3 linked regions of the Kluyveromyces lactis genome follow. The main gene of each other region encodes a partner of the protein of the gene in region 2 in a complex. Links are inferred from orthologs where the notes say so. Each region holds a gene or a part of one and is shown on either strand. Other genes may lie near its edges.

Region 1 (4,127 bases), on a different chromosome or scaffold from region 2:
ACCGACTCCGAGATTACGGGGACTGAAAAGGAATGGGAACAATTAAACAATTGGCATAACTTACAACCAGGGGAGAGGGTGACCAAAAATGGACCTGCTCATGAGTGTTACTATCATAATGGGAAATTGATTGCATTGTCTGTACTGGATTTTTTGCCCAGTGGGGTATCATCAGTCTATTTCATTTGGGATCCAGATTATTATGATTGGTCGTTAGGTAAGGTTAGTGCATTAAGAGAATTGGCTTTAGTGTCAAAAATCGGAAGGCCGTACTATTACCTAGGTTACTACATAGACGACTGCCCAAAGATGAACTACAAGGCCAAGTTTGGTGGTGAAATTCTTGATGTCTGTAATCAAAAATACGTGCCATTATCGAAGATCCATCAGATTATTAAACATAACGAATTGTTTGTCGGGCTGAACTCGACCGTTGCCTCCCCAGATAGCGAGATTCTCATCACCAGTGCATCTGACAAAATAAACTTTGATGAACCATTCATTAACGCTGTTGATGATATATATGGCCCCAATGGGAATGCTTCTCAGAATGCCATCACTTCCGTCGCTAAGTTAAGAAAATATGGAATTAATTACTCTCCTGATCTGCAACGTAGCATTTATAAGGAGATTCCCAATGATGGCAATTCCACTTCATCAGCATCCTCAGACAAAAAAGATGTGTATCGAATTCCAAATGTCGTTCCAGGTTTAGTCCCATTAATGGAGATTGTTTCTCTTTTTGAATCGGGCAAAATGAACGAATTGAACAACAATGTTGTGTTATTTGACACGAAAATCAATGCGCTTAGAATTGTCAGGGATTTTATTTCAGAAAAGCCTGAAATTAAAACTGTTATCACCGATGTGATAAGACTCATTGGATTAGATAATACAAAAAAAGCCATAATAATCATATAAAGAGCCTATTTAGGTAGAAACTACGATACAATAAAAACTATAAATGATCTACCTTCACGGGTGTATCGAAAATTATATAAGCAGCAATAACTAGTCTTAATAACTTCCATCTTGTCATTGTACTGCAGAGTTCTCTTTTCGTCAACATCTGCAATGAATGGCATGGCTTGCAGAAAAGATAGAAAAAAAATTCGAAAAGCTTCAACTTCTACCATTTAATGTAGAAGAACAAGAAATATATCTGATAAAAGAAAGGTCAAGTAAGAGCATATTCCCCTCGATATCAGTGTTTGCATGAAGCACGATCTGGTGACACATTAGTGAGGATTTAGTTAATTTCAGTAGATTCTCAAAAAATAATGGACATCAACCATATTGTTTCCCTTATTGAAACTTTCAACAACAGTCATGATTCGAAGGTAATAAATGACATTCAAAACGTATTGCAACAACACCAAAAATCTGAGCTAGGGATTGATCTTGCCAATGCATTACTATCTCAGGAAAATGGCTCGACAAATGTGAAGTACTTTGGTGCCCTTACGTATACCGTCCAGTTAACGACATGTTTGCATACCGAAAGCCAGCTATGGTCTATCTTCCAAGGTAATTTAGTTCATCTTACAAGAATGATGTTTTTGTTTACTTCCAATCCAGCCGCCGCCTCCAATTTATTGGTGACAATCACCAAGTTGATGTCAAACCTATCTTTAATTTTTTTGACAATTAATAGCGATGCCATCGGAGCTGATTCAAATAAGATTCCTGCATGGCGCAATCCTGTAAATACATGCATCAAGCTATTGCAACATTGCAACGAATCAAACCTGTTTGAATGGAGGACAGACAATTCCGAAATAGCTGAAAGATTGGTTCGTACATGCTTGAATGAAGATGTTCCATACACGGAGCTAATTGGGAACATCAGCTCTTCTGCTCCATTAAACAAATTATTGTTATTATTCACAAAGGTTATTGTTGAAGACATGAACAAATATCAATCGAAAAAAAGTTCCTTGTCCAACGTTTATGAAATGGTACACAACCATTTATATATTAGCACTATGGCCATTTTGAATTTTAACTTGGAGAATATGATGTCTTCTGGTGCAACTTCCGAAGTATTTCCTTGCATTACCTCTTGGATTCATTACATATCAATGGCAAGAAATGTCTCCGCTCATGGAACTATGGACTTGACTGAGATGTTCAACAATATGATAAATGTCATGTGCATGGCAAGCAACGGATCCCAGGAATTCCCATATTCCGACGAGGTGATCTCAATTTTCGATGATTTGTTCTCAAATGACCCTACGCTTATGTCATTCGAAGTTCGTGCTAAACTAGAAGCAATTTTCCTTGGAGTTTCAAGGCATTCAATGAACACCTCGAACGACTGGATGTTAGCATATATGAACCATTTAGTAACAAATGAATTATATGACGATTTGAAGGTCTTGGCATCCTGTGTTGTTGACTTCTTACAAATTTCCAACCTCGACGTTTGTAACAAACTTTTTACCAATATTCATGAGAACACGGGTGACCAATCTTTGGAAGATTACATCAGGGTACTACTACAATTAACCAACTTCCCTCTTATTCCAATCTTGCAGGAAACTTATTCATCTAAAATGATAGAATTCTGGCTCGATCTAGCAGAAGGGTATGGTAATCTTCCTCAAGAAGCCTTAAAGGCAGATGCAAACGAAATCGCTGAAAACATGTTCAATCAAGTGGTTCAAATTTACCTACCGAAGATCAGTCTAATGAATAAACAAAAGATTATGGAAGAAGATGATGATCAATCTTTGCTTCATGAATTTGATGATTTCAGATCCGCAACACAGGATCTCATGGAGATATTATGGACGATCTTGGGTCATAGTAAACTAACTATCGTTCTCATTAGAGGTGTTGGCCAAGCTGACACGAATAATGTTGACTTATATCAGGTAGAGGCAATGTCATTTTTGCTTGCCAAATTATTAGATGGAGTGAATTTCTCACAATCTCCCTTCATCAGTGATGCTATCGGTGAGAACCATCTTATAGACAATTTATTGTTCTTGTTGCAAACAGGATGCAAACAGAAGGAACATTCGAAAACTGCACAGGTTTTGAAGTTAGACTTCGTTAAAGCCACATGCAATTTACTTGGTGTAATGGCCACATATTTCCACGTCGATTCCAAGCCACTTGGACCAATCGTAGAATCTCTATTCGAATGTCTTGAAACATCAAGGCAATACAATCCAATTGAGTATTCGATTAAAATGGAACTACAACTAAACAGGACGATATCGCTAATTTGCGAGAATTGTAGAAAAGAGTTAATTCCTTTCTTGCCAAATTTCATACAAGTTTTACGTTCTATTATGAGGCCCGAATCACCTGTATCGCATTTCACTAGGGAAAAATTTGTGAAATCGATCGGTAACATTATACAGATGTGCGTTTCGGAGGGTCCTGAAGCTCAAGCCAATCATATTTCTAATATGGTGGATATGATTGGAGGCCTAATACAAACCACCGATGCCAAATCTGACATGTTATCGTTACTTGCTTGTCTCAGTGAGTTAGGATCCGGCCTTTCTCAATTACCTAACGACGACGAATTTATAGAAAACAATCCAATGTACCTAGCCCAACTACCCGCATTCCAGGCTTATTGGCTACAAGATCCAATGAGAGTAAAGGACAAAGTCATGCATCTTGTACAATATGCGTTATCCAAATATGGTACTGATCCAGAATTCGTGGAAGTATCTTGTTTAATTATCGGGAAAGCTATAACTTTACCAGATGATATACCGCACTTCTTACGCTATCCATTATCTGAAATGATGTCGTTCTATATGACATGTATTTCGAACTGCGATTATGCATCTGGTCTACCTTACATCGAGTACCAGCTAGAGAAGATTGTAGCTGGATTCAAAGATCAACTAACTTCACACGAATTCGACGAAATGTTCAAACAGTTTTTCCTCAACTATTATTCCAGCCATATCTCATCGGACCCAGATTTGATCCAATCAATGGTATCCTGGGTAAATTCAGTGTTGGAAGCTAAGCCATCTCTAGCACTAAAATCAGAGTACTGGACTCAATTCATTGTGCCCGAATTCTTGAAATACTTGCAGGCAAAGGAAAAATTCACCATCAGTTCCACTACCAAGTTCTGGATGAAGACTTTAAAC
Region 2 (2,415 bases):
ATTTGTAAACTTGAACTATCTTTCGATACTTCAAACACAGGTTTCATTAAATTTGAAGAATGTTTTCAAGTTTGTTGACAAGAACAAAGATCCTCAACTGAAAGAAAGATGTCAGGATTGCTTTTCTACATTGGATAGTTTTATTGCATACAAACAAAATGAACGTAACAAATAAAACAATAAATATATACAGTCTACACCTGATAATAGTAAAATACAAAATAATTGAATAAATCAAGTATTCATTAGCATTATTCTTGATATTAATTTTAAATTTTACACGAGAACTATACACCTACTGGATCGTTCCATCCTATGATATATCTCTATACAGCCATATAACAATGGTCAACACCGTAGAATAAATCGAGCCATAGAATACAGCAAATTTATTTGATTTGCGCTTTACGCTGGGGAAGGCCCAGGGTTTCCCGCAAGTTGATATCTGCCGTCATCTGCGTATTTGCATTTTCTCTGTCAGTAAATGGTTTACTTCCGAAGTTGTATTATGGAGGTATCACTTGGTATACCTAAGAGCTTGTTCTGAGACTTTCCTCTCATATTCCTTAATGTTTTTCGAGAAAGCTCTCCAAGCTGGCTCTTGCGCAGGTGAGTTAGGGTTCGGAGAATCCAAAAGATCCTGTACACCAAGTAAGAGTTGTTTCAAGGTGATAGCAGGTCTCCAGTCCTGATCTTCGTTCAAGATTGATAAGCAAATGGTTCCACTGGGATAAACATTAGGGTGATAAAATCCTGCTGGAAATTTCACTTTAGGAGGTTTTGACGGATAGTCATCAGGATATTCAATGGTCAAAGGATAAAGACCATTTTTCCAGAGAGTGCCGTCTCTTCCAGGGATACCAGCCTCCCATTTCTGCAAGTTCATAGATCCATCTGTCTTTTTAGTTGGTTTGGCAAAGAACCCATAAGGATGATCTTTTCTCCACTTCTTTCTCTCCTCTTGTAACCTCTGTAGACAAAGACTACTCATGACTGTTTATATTATTCGGCCGTTCTGATCGTCGAGTCGCTTTAATATACAGATACCGTAAATATATTAAGGTACGTTGCGCCCTGTTGTAAATAGAGCCTTAACTCAGATTTACCGTTGTTGAATAATTGGAGGATATGATATTCCGTGCGATACGTCTTTTTGTTTGTGATTTTGAAGATGATTTTGATATTGTAGAAAAAGCATCAATAGTGTTTTGAAGAAAAAGTGATATTTTTCAGAATTGACAGTGACTAAAGAAACCTTAACTGAGGTATAATTAATAGTAAGGGCTACGCACCACCAAAATTTCAACGGATAGTAATCAGATACTTCGACAAACGATGTCAGACAACAAAGTTGACGAATTTGATGATTTGGATGACTATTTAGAGGATCCACGCAAACTGGATGAACAGGAAAAACAAGAAACTGTTCCAAATGAGGCAGTTACTAAGGGTGAGCCTGCTACGCAGAGCGATGATCCAGAAGTAGTCGAGATGATGGAAGATTTGCAGAAACAGTTCCAACAATTGATGCAGCAGGAAGGCGGTGATACTGACCAAGAAATGGTTCAGAATTTCGAGACATTGCTAACTGTACTTGGAGATGCATCGAAGGAGAAAGACCATAACAGTGTAAAACACGTTCAGGAGCAATTGAAGAGCGGTACTGGTTTCAAGAATATCATTTCCAACACCCTAGATAGATTGAAAGAAAATTCTACGAAAGTGGATGAAAGTTTGGAGGAAGAGAAGAAAAATCAGAACTCAGACGATATTCTTTCCCAATTGCTAGATCAACTAGTGGAAAACGGCGATGGCAACGGTACGGACGGAGAAGGAATGGACAATGCCATTTTGAAAATGCTTTCACAAATGTCTTCTAAAGAAGTGCTATATCAGCCGATGAAACAAATGCAGGGAGAATTCACCGAGTGGATGGGATTACACGAAGAAGACCCCGAACACAGCGACAAGATTGATAACTACAAGAAACAGTATGCACTTGTGAATCAGATCATCGGTGTATTCGAAAGCGATGATTATACGAATGAAAAGTACCATGCTGAGATCGCAGATCTATTGGATGAACTAGAGCAACTCGGTGACTCACCGGTTGCAAAGGGAACTAGTAACGATCCTGGAAACGATATGTCAGAATTAGCCAAGATGCTGGAAATACAAGGAGATGAAAATCTAGGTAACATCGACAAAGACCTTGAAGATACCTGCAAACAGCAATAAAATGTGTATATGAGCTCATAATATAATATTTAATCATAATAAACTATTATTCTATTTCTTTCACTCTTTGCCTATTAGTATGATATTCGAATAATATGGCTATTTTTCTCTTTTCGACTTTGAAATTCATATTGAGGACTGAAATCACGAGACTAGCTCTAAACCAATAATAACCAA
Region 3 (3,699 bases), about 160 kb from region 2:
TGAGTATGATAGTAGTTCAAGACCATCTTCGCCTATGCTGCGCAAGACGGGCAGCACAAATAGTGCAAAAATGTTACAACTGCCTTCAATAGTGGGCATAAGTAAAGATGATTTCCCAACCTCAAAGACAGACAGCGACTTCGAAGATGGCCAAGAGGAACGTCAACCAAGATCCAAAAAACGAGAATCTTGGTTGCAAAGACTAAAAAGTCATTCAAGATCATCTATTCGAGAATAACCTGATATACCGTAATGTTTGTCACACAATATTTCAACTTTGGCAAATGGGCATATAACTGTTTTCTCATCTATGATAATGGTTGAATTCTTCTTTATTTTTCAGTTTTGGTTTTCTGGCAGTTGTAATCATTGTTTGTACTTTCCTCATCATATTTGCCATATGTTACTACGTAATAAAACTCCAAAAAATGTTGTACTATTATAATTACAGTTCTTTAATGTGCGTTTATATATATATATATATCCATCACTGTAAAACAGATATCTATAGATATGGAAGACTAGCGATGCTCAATTAATCGAGCAGGATAAGATCATCTTCATCAGATTGTGATGCATTCAACTTGGGTGTCTTTGTTGGTGGAGATGGAATACTATTTGAAAGATGCCTCTTCAAATTATTCCTTTCATCCTCGGCAGGCTCATCATCTACTATCAGGGTTTCGATGGCTTGAATATGGTCTTCAGTTCTATCTTGGTCTGCATCGACAGCTGTTTGTTCATCCTCTGCATTCTCATAAGGGGAATGATAAGTGTATGTATCTCTTGGTAGATTTGGTAACTGAAGGTCTTCCCCGCTATTTTCTGGTACAAATTCCAAGTAGAACTCAATTGACTGCCTTAATTGAGCACCATCTTCCATTTCCTCGTCTTTATAAAGAAGAAAAGTACCAGTTCTGAAGTTGAATCTTGAAAGCTTCCGGCATTCTAAATCATCAAAATCAAAATCGTACAATAAGCTGTTAGTATTAGTATCGAGAACGGAGTATTCACCAGTGAACTCATATTTTGAAATGATTTTCTGATTAAGATCGTACAAAGACATGTGCTCAACAATTGCCTTTGGTATTTTCAGTACGGCTCTTTGAATGTTAGAAGATACTGAACAATGAGGATTCTTGGGTGCGAGAGTTGGATTCGATAGATACCTATTTGTGGTGATATTACTTGCCCTTGCCGTAAATGCCATTGGAATTTCTAAAGGATTATTTGATACGTTACTCAACAAGTTTAGAACACGTAAAGAAACCAATGAAGAAAGACCGGCGATGATCGCGTTTGTAGTGGCAATGGCAGGAATAATGTTACCAGCCATTTGTTTAATATCAAAGACAGATTTAGGTGCAATGTGGAAGATGTAAGATCTGATATTCGCGGCACAAGCTACAAACAATAAGGTATCGTCATCATCCTTATCGAATTCTATGAATGGTTCCTGCCTTAATCTCAACATCAATGTCTTCGTAACTTCGATAAACTTATCTACATTTTCTTGCAATGTCCATACCTGAGCTAGATCTGTTGGGATATTATCAGATGGTAGTAAAGCACCTAAAGGTGTTGGTTTCACTCTCGTTTTCCAAAGATTTTCAATCTTTAGAAGTTTATTGATATCATCGACGAACAATTTCTTTAAAATATCTGTGATTTTCGTCTCATCGCCGGACTTGACTAACTGCTGGAGAGCATGTAATTCGTTAGTCTCCTCTTTGATGCGGGCGATTTCTTCTTTATCATCAGTACCTAAATCTTGATCATTTACGGTCTCTTCTGAGGATTCTGCAAAAAGTTGGCCAAATAGGAAATTCTTGGCCCAAACCACACAGTGGATTGGCTGTGATGGCGTGGATCTAATGGTACAGACCGGGAACGTAGTTGGTGTCTCCTTAGTGGTGCAATCAAAGCATTCAGTGACACTTGGGAAGATTGGCTGTATGTATCCATCGAATCCCGAAGTCCCAGATTCGATCAAAGGTTTATTAGTGAACTGACACATCTTATTGACGTATCTTCTTGCCGCTAGATTGTCCAATGCATTGTATATAATCGAAAACTGATCAAACCACGAAAGTGGGAACTTTTCTGTATCCATGATATTATTCTGATATGAAACTAGTTTAGAGTTGCTGAACCTTTGAACTGCTTTCATTGCAGTATTACTTTTAGGTTGTTTAATATCTCTCTTCCTAAATAAAAACTGTCTGTTCAAATTCGATAAATCAATAGTGTCCAAATCAACGATATGGATTTCACCTATTTCCAACAAAATCAAATCCTTCAAAAGCTCACAGCCAATTCCACCTGCGCCAACAAGTAACACCTTCATATCGCGCAGCTTTTCAAAGCTTTCTTTACCTATGCATTTTACCAAATTCGTCTCTCTTGCCATCGTGAATATATGCCAAACAATTGGTTGAGCTCTAAGTCTTTAGCTAAAAACTTTAAATGGTTATCAATGGAAAATATCAACAATTTGATGTTTCAAATGGTAAGCTGAGTATACTTTTTTCCTTTTAAAGGGTAGTTGTCCAAACAAGTAATGTTGCACTCTTTAAAGGAAGGTTCATAATATTCAATGGATGGCCAGCTACTATTTTTCAACGATACAATGAAAACAGCAGAGAAAAAAAACACAGTCACGTGCAAATAATTTTCACATCACATGACTGAAACCGAGGCCGTGTTCGGAGTTACCCTCCGTGAACCATCATCCTTTTCTCGGTCCCGAAACGATTTCCATGACGAGATGTTTTCCAATTCGCTGCACTACTTCGAGCCTATGTGTGCTCAGTTAATGTTGATGCATATGGGAAATTACATTAAGTATCTGAGAAATATAAATCGAATATATATATATCCTAAAATAAAGGATTTCAGAATACCTGTCGATTTCTGCAATTGAACACGGATAAATATAAGCTCGTTTTCTCGAGGTAAGGTTCTGTCTTTCCGACTGTTGAGTGATACAAAAGCAGATAAAAGGGTGTATATATACCAGTGTTATTTTGTGGTTTTCATTTTTTCCAATTAATCGTTTATCTTCTAGAGTAAGATTAAACAGAGAATCAACGTAACGACGAACTGAAATAACTCAATTCGTATCTTCAAGTCAAAACGAACGTAACCCGTCACTGATTTGACACAATATCAACGAAATTCGTCAGACACATATTTTTGGGATTTCATTATTTCTCTCCGTTCTCCTCAACAATCATACTATAAAGACATGTTCAGACAATCAATTGTGAAGCAATCGTGTAGATTTTTGGCTACCAAGAAACAACCAAGTATCGGTAGATACACCGGTAAGCCAAACCCAAAGACTGGTAAGTACACTGTTTCCTTCATTGAAGGTGATGGTGTTGGTCCAGAAATTTCCAAATCCGTTAAGGCGATCTTTTCCGCAGCCAAGGTTCCTATTGAATGGGAAAGTTGTGATGTGAGTCCAATTTTCGTTAACGGATTAACTACTATTCCAGATCCAGCTGTTGCTTCAATTAACAAGAACTTGATTGCTTTGAAGGGTCCATTGGCTACTCCAATTGGTAAGGGTCACAGATCCTTGAACTTAACCTTAAGAAAGACTTTCGGTTTGTTCGCTAATGTGCGTCCAGCTAAATCTATCGAGGGTTACAAGACTACTTACGAAAACGTTAACTTAGTTTTGATCAGAGAAAA

The links.
Region 1: the proteins of UBC9 (region 2) and KAP122 are in contact, whole or in part, in a crystal structure (PDB 6Q83), measured with the Saccharomyces cerevisiae proteins. The link is inferred for Kluyveromyces lactis from reciprocal best matches to the Saccharomyces cerevisiae genes UBC9 and KAP122. Residues at the interface, in NP_010219.1 of Saccharomyces cerevisiae: Arg13, Arg17, Lys18, His20, Pro21, Phe22, Gly23, Phe24, Lys27, Lys30, Asp33, Gly34, Ser35, Met36, Pro128, Glu131, Pro132, Trp134, Arg135, Ser136, Arg139, Asn140, Glu143, Lys146, Lys147, Leu150, Lys153, Gln154, Tyr155, Ser156; in NP_011499.1 of Saccharomyces cerevisiae: Ala308, Ile367, Asp371, Arg427, Val429, Asp430, Leu433, Asp434, Asp437, Thr440, Asn441, Asn489, Glu492, Asp493, Asp500, Ser504, Arg606, Lys656, Val659, Lys663, Ser698, His699, Phe700, Asp754, Asn757, Cys758, Tyr761, Asn820, Ser821, Ala822.
Region 3: the proteins of UBC9 (region 2) and UBA2 are in contact, whole or in part, in a crystal structure (PDB 3ONG), measured with the Saccharomyces cerevisiae proteins. The link is inferred for Kluyveromyces lactis from reciprocal best matches to the Saccharomyces cerevisiae genes UBC9 and UBA2. Residues at the interface, in NP_010219.1 of Saccharomyces cerevisiae: Met1, Leu6, Gln10, Glu11, Arg13, Lys14, Arg17, Lys30, Asp33, Gly34, Ser35, Met36, Leu38; in NP_010678.3 of Saccharomyces cerevisiae: Asp474, Ser476, Leu478, Gln483, Arg484, Leu485, Leu486, Asp488, Tyr489, Asp490, Phe491, Asp493, Leu494, Leu511, Ser513, Glu515, Glu516, Gly517.

What each region holds. Positions count from the first base shown.
Region 1 is NC_006037.1:432,301-436,427, forward strand, and holds the start of KAP122 (Kap122p), read left to right. Parts: upstream 1-1,280; coding exon 1,281-4,127. Other genes in the region: ATE1 (arginyltransferase), read left to right, coding at 1-921.
Region 2 is NC_006041.1:442,022-444,436, reverse strand, and holds UBC9 (E2 SUMO-conjugating protein UBC9), read right to left. Parts: upstream 992-2,415; coding exon 518-991; downstream 1-517. Other genes in the region: SYO1 (Syo1p), read left to right, coding at 1-175; PEX19 (Pex19p), read left to right, coding at 1,336-2,238. UniProt on the Saccharomyces cerevisiae protein: E2 ubiquitin-like--protein ligase mediating SUMO/Smt3 attachment to septins and PCNA. Seems to be involved in degradation of S- (CLB5) and M-phase cyclins (CLB2).
Region 3 is NC_006041.1:285,578-289,276, forward strand, and holds UBA2 (E1 ubiquitin-activating protein UBA2), read right to left. Parts: upstream 2,411-3,699; coding exon 536-2,410; downstream 1-535. Other genes in the region: KLLA0_E03081g (Rho GTPase-activating protein), read left to right, coding at 1-238; isocitrate dehydrogenase (NAD(+)) IDH2, read left to right, coding at 3,248-3,699. UniProt on the Saccharomyces cerevisiae protein: The dimeric enzyme acts as a SMT3 E1 ligase. It mediates ATP-dependent activation of SMT3 and formation of a thioester with a conserved cysteine residue on AOS1.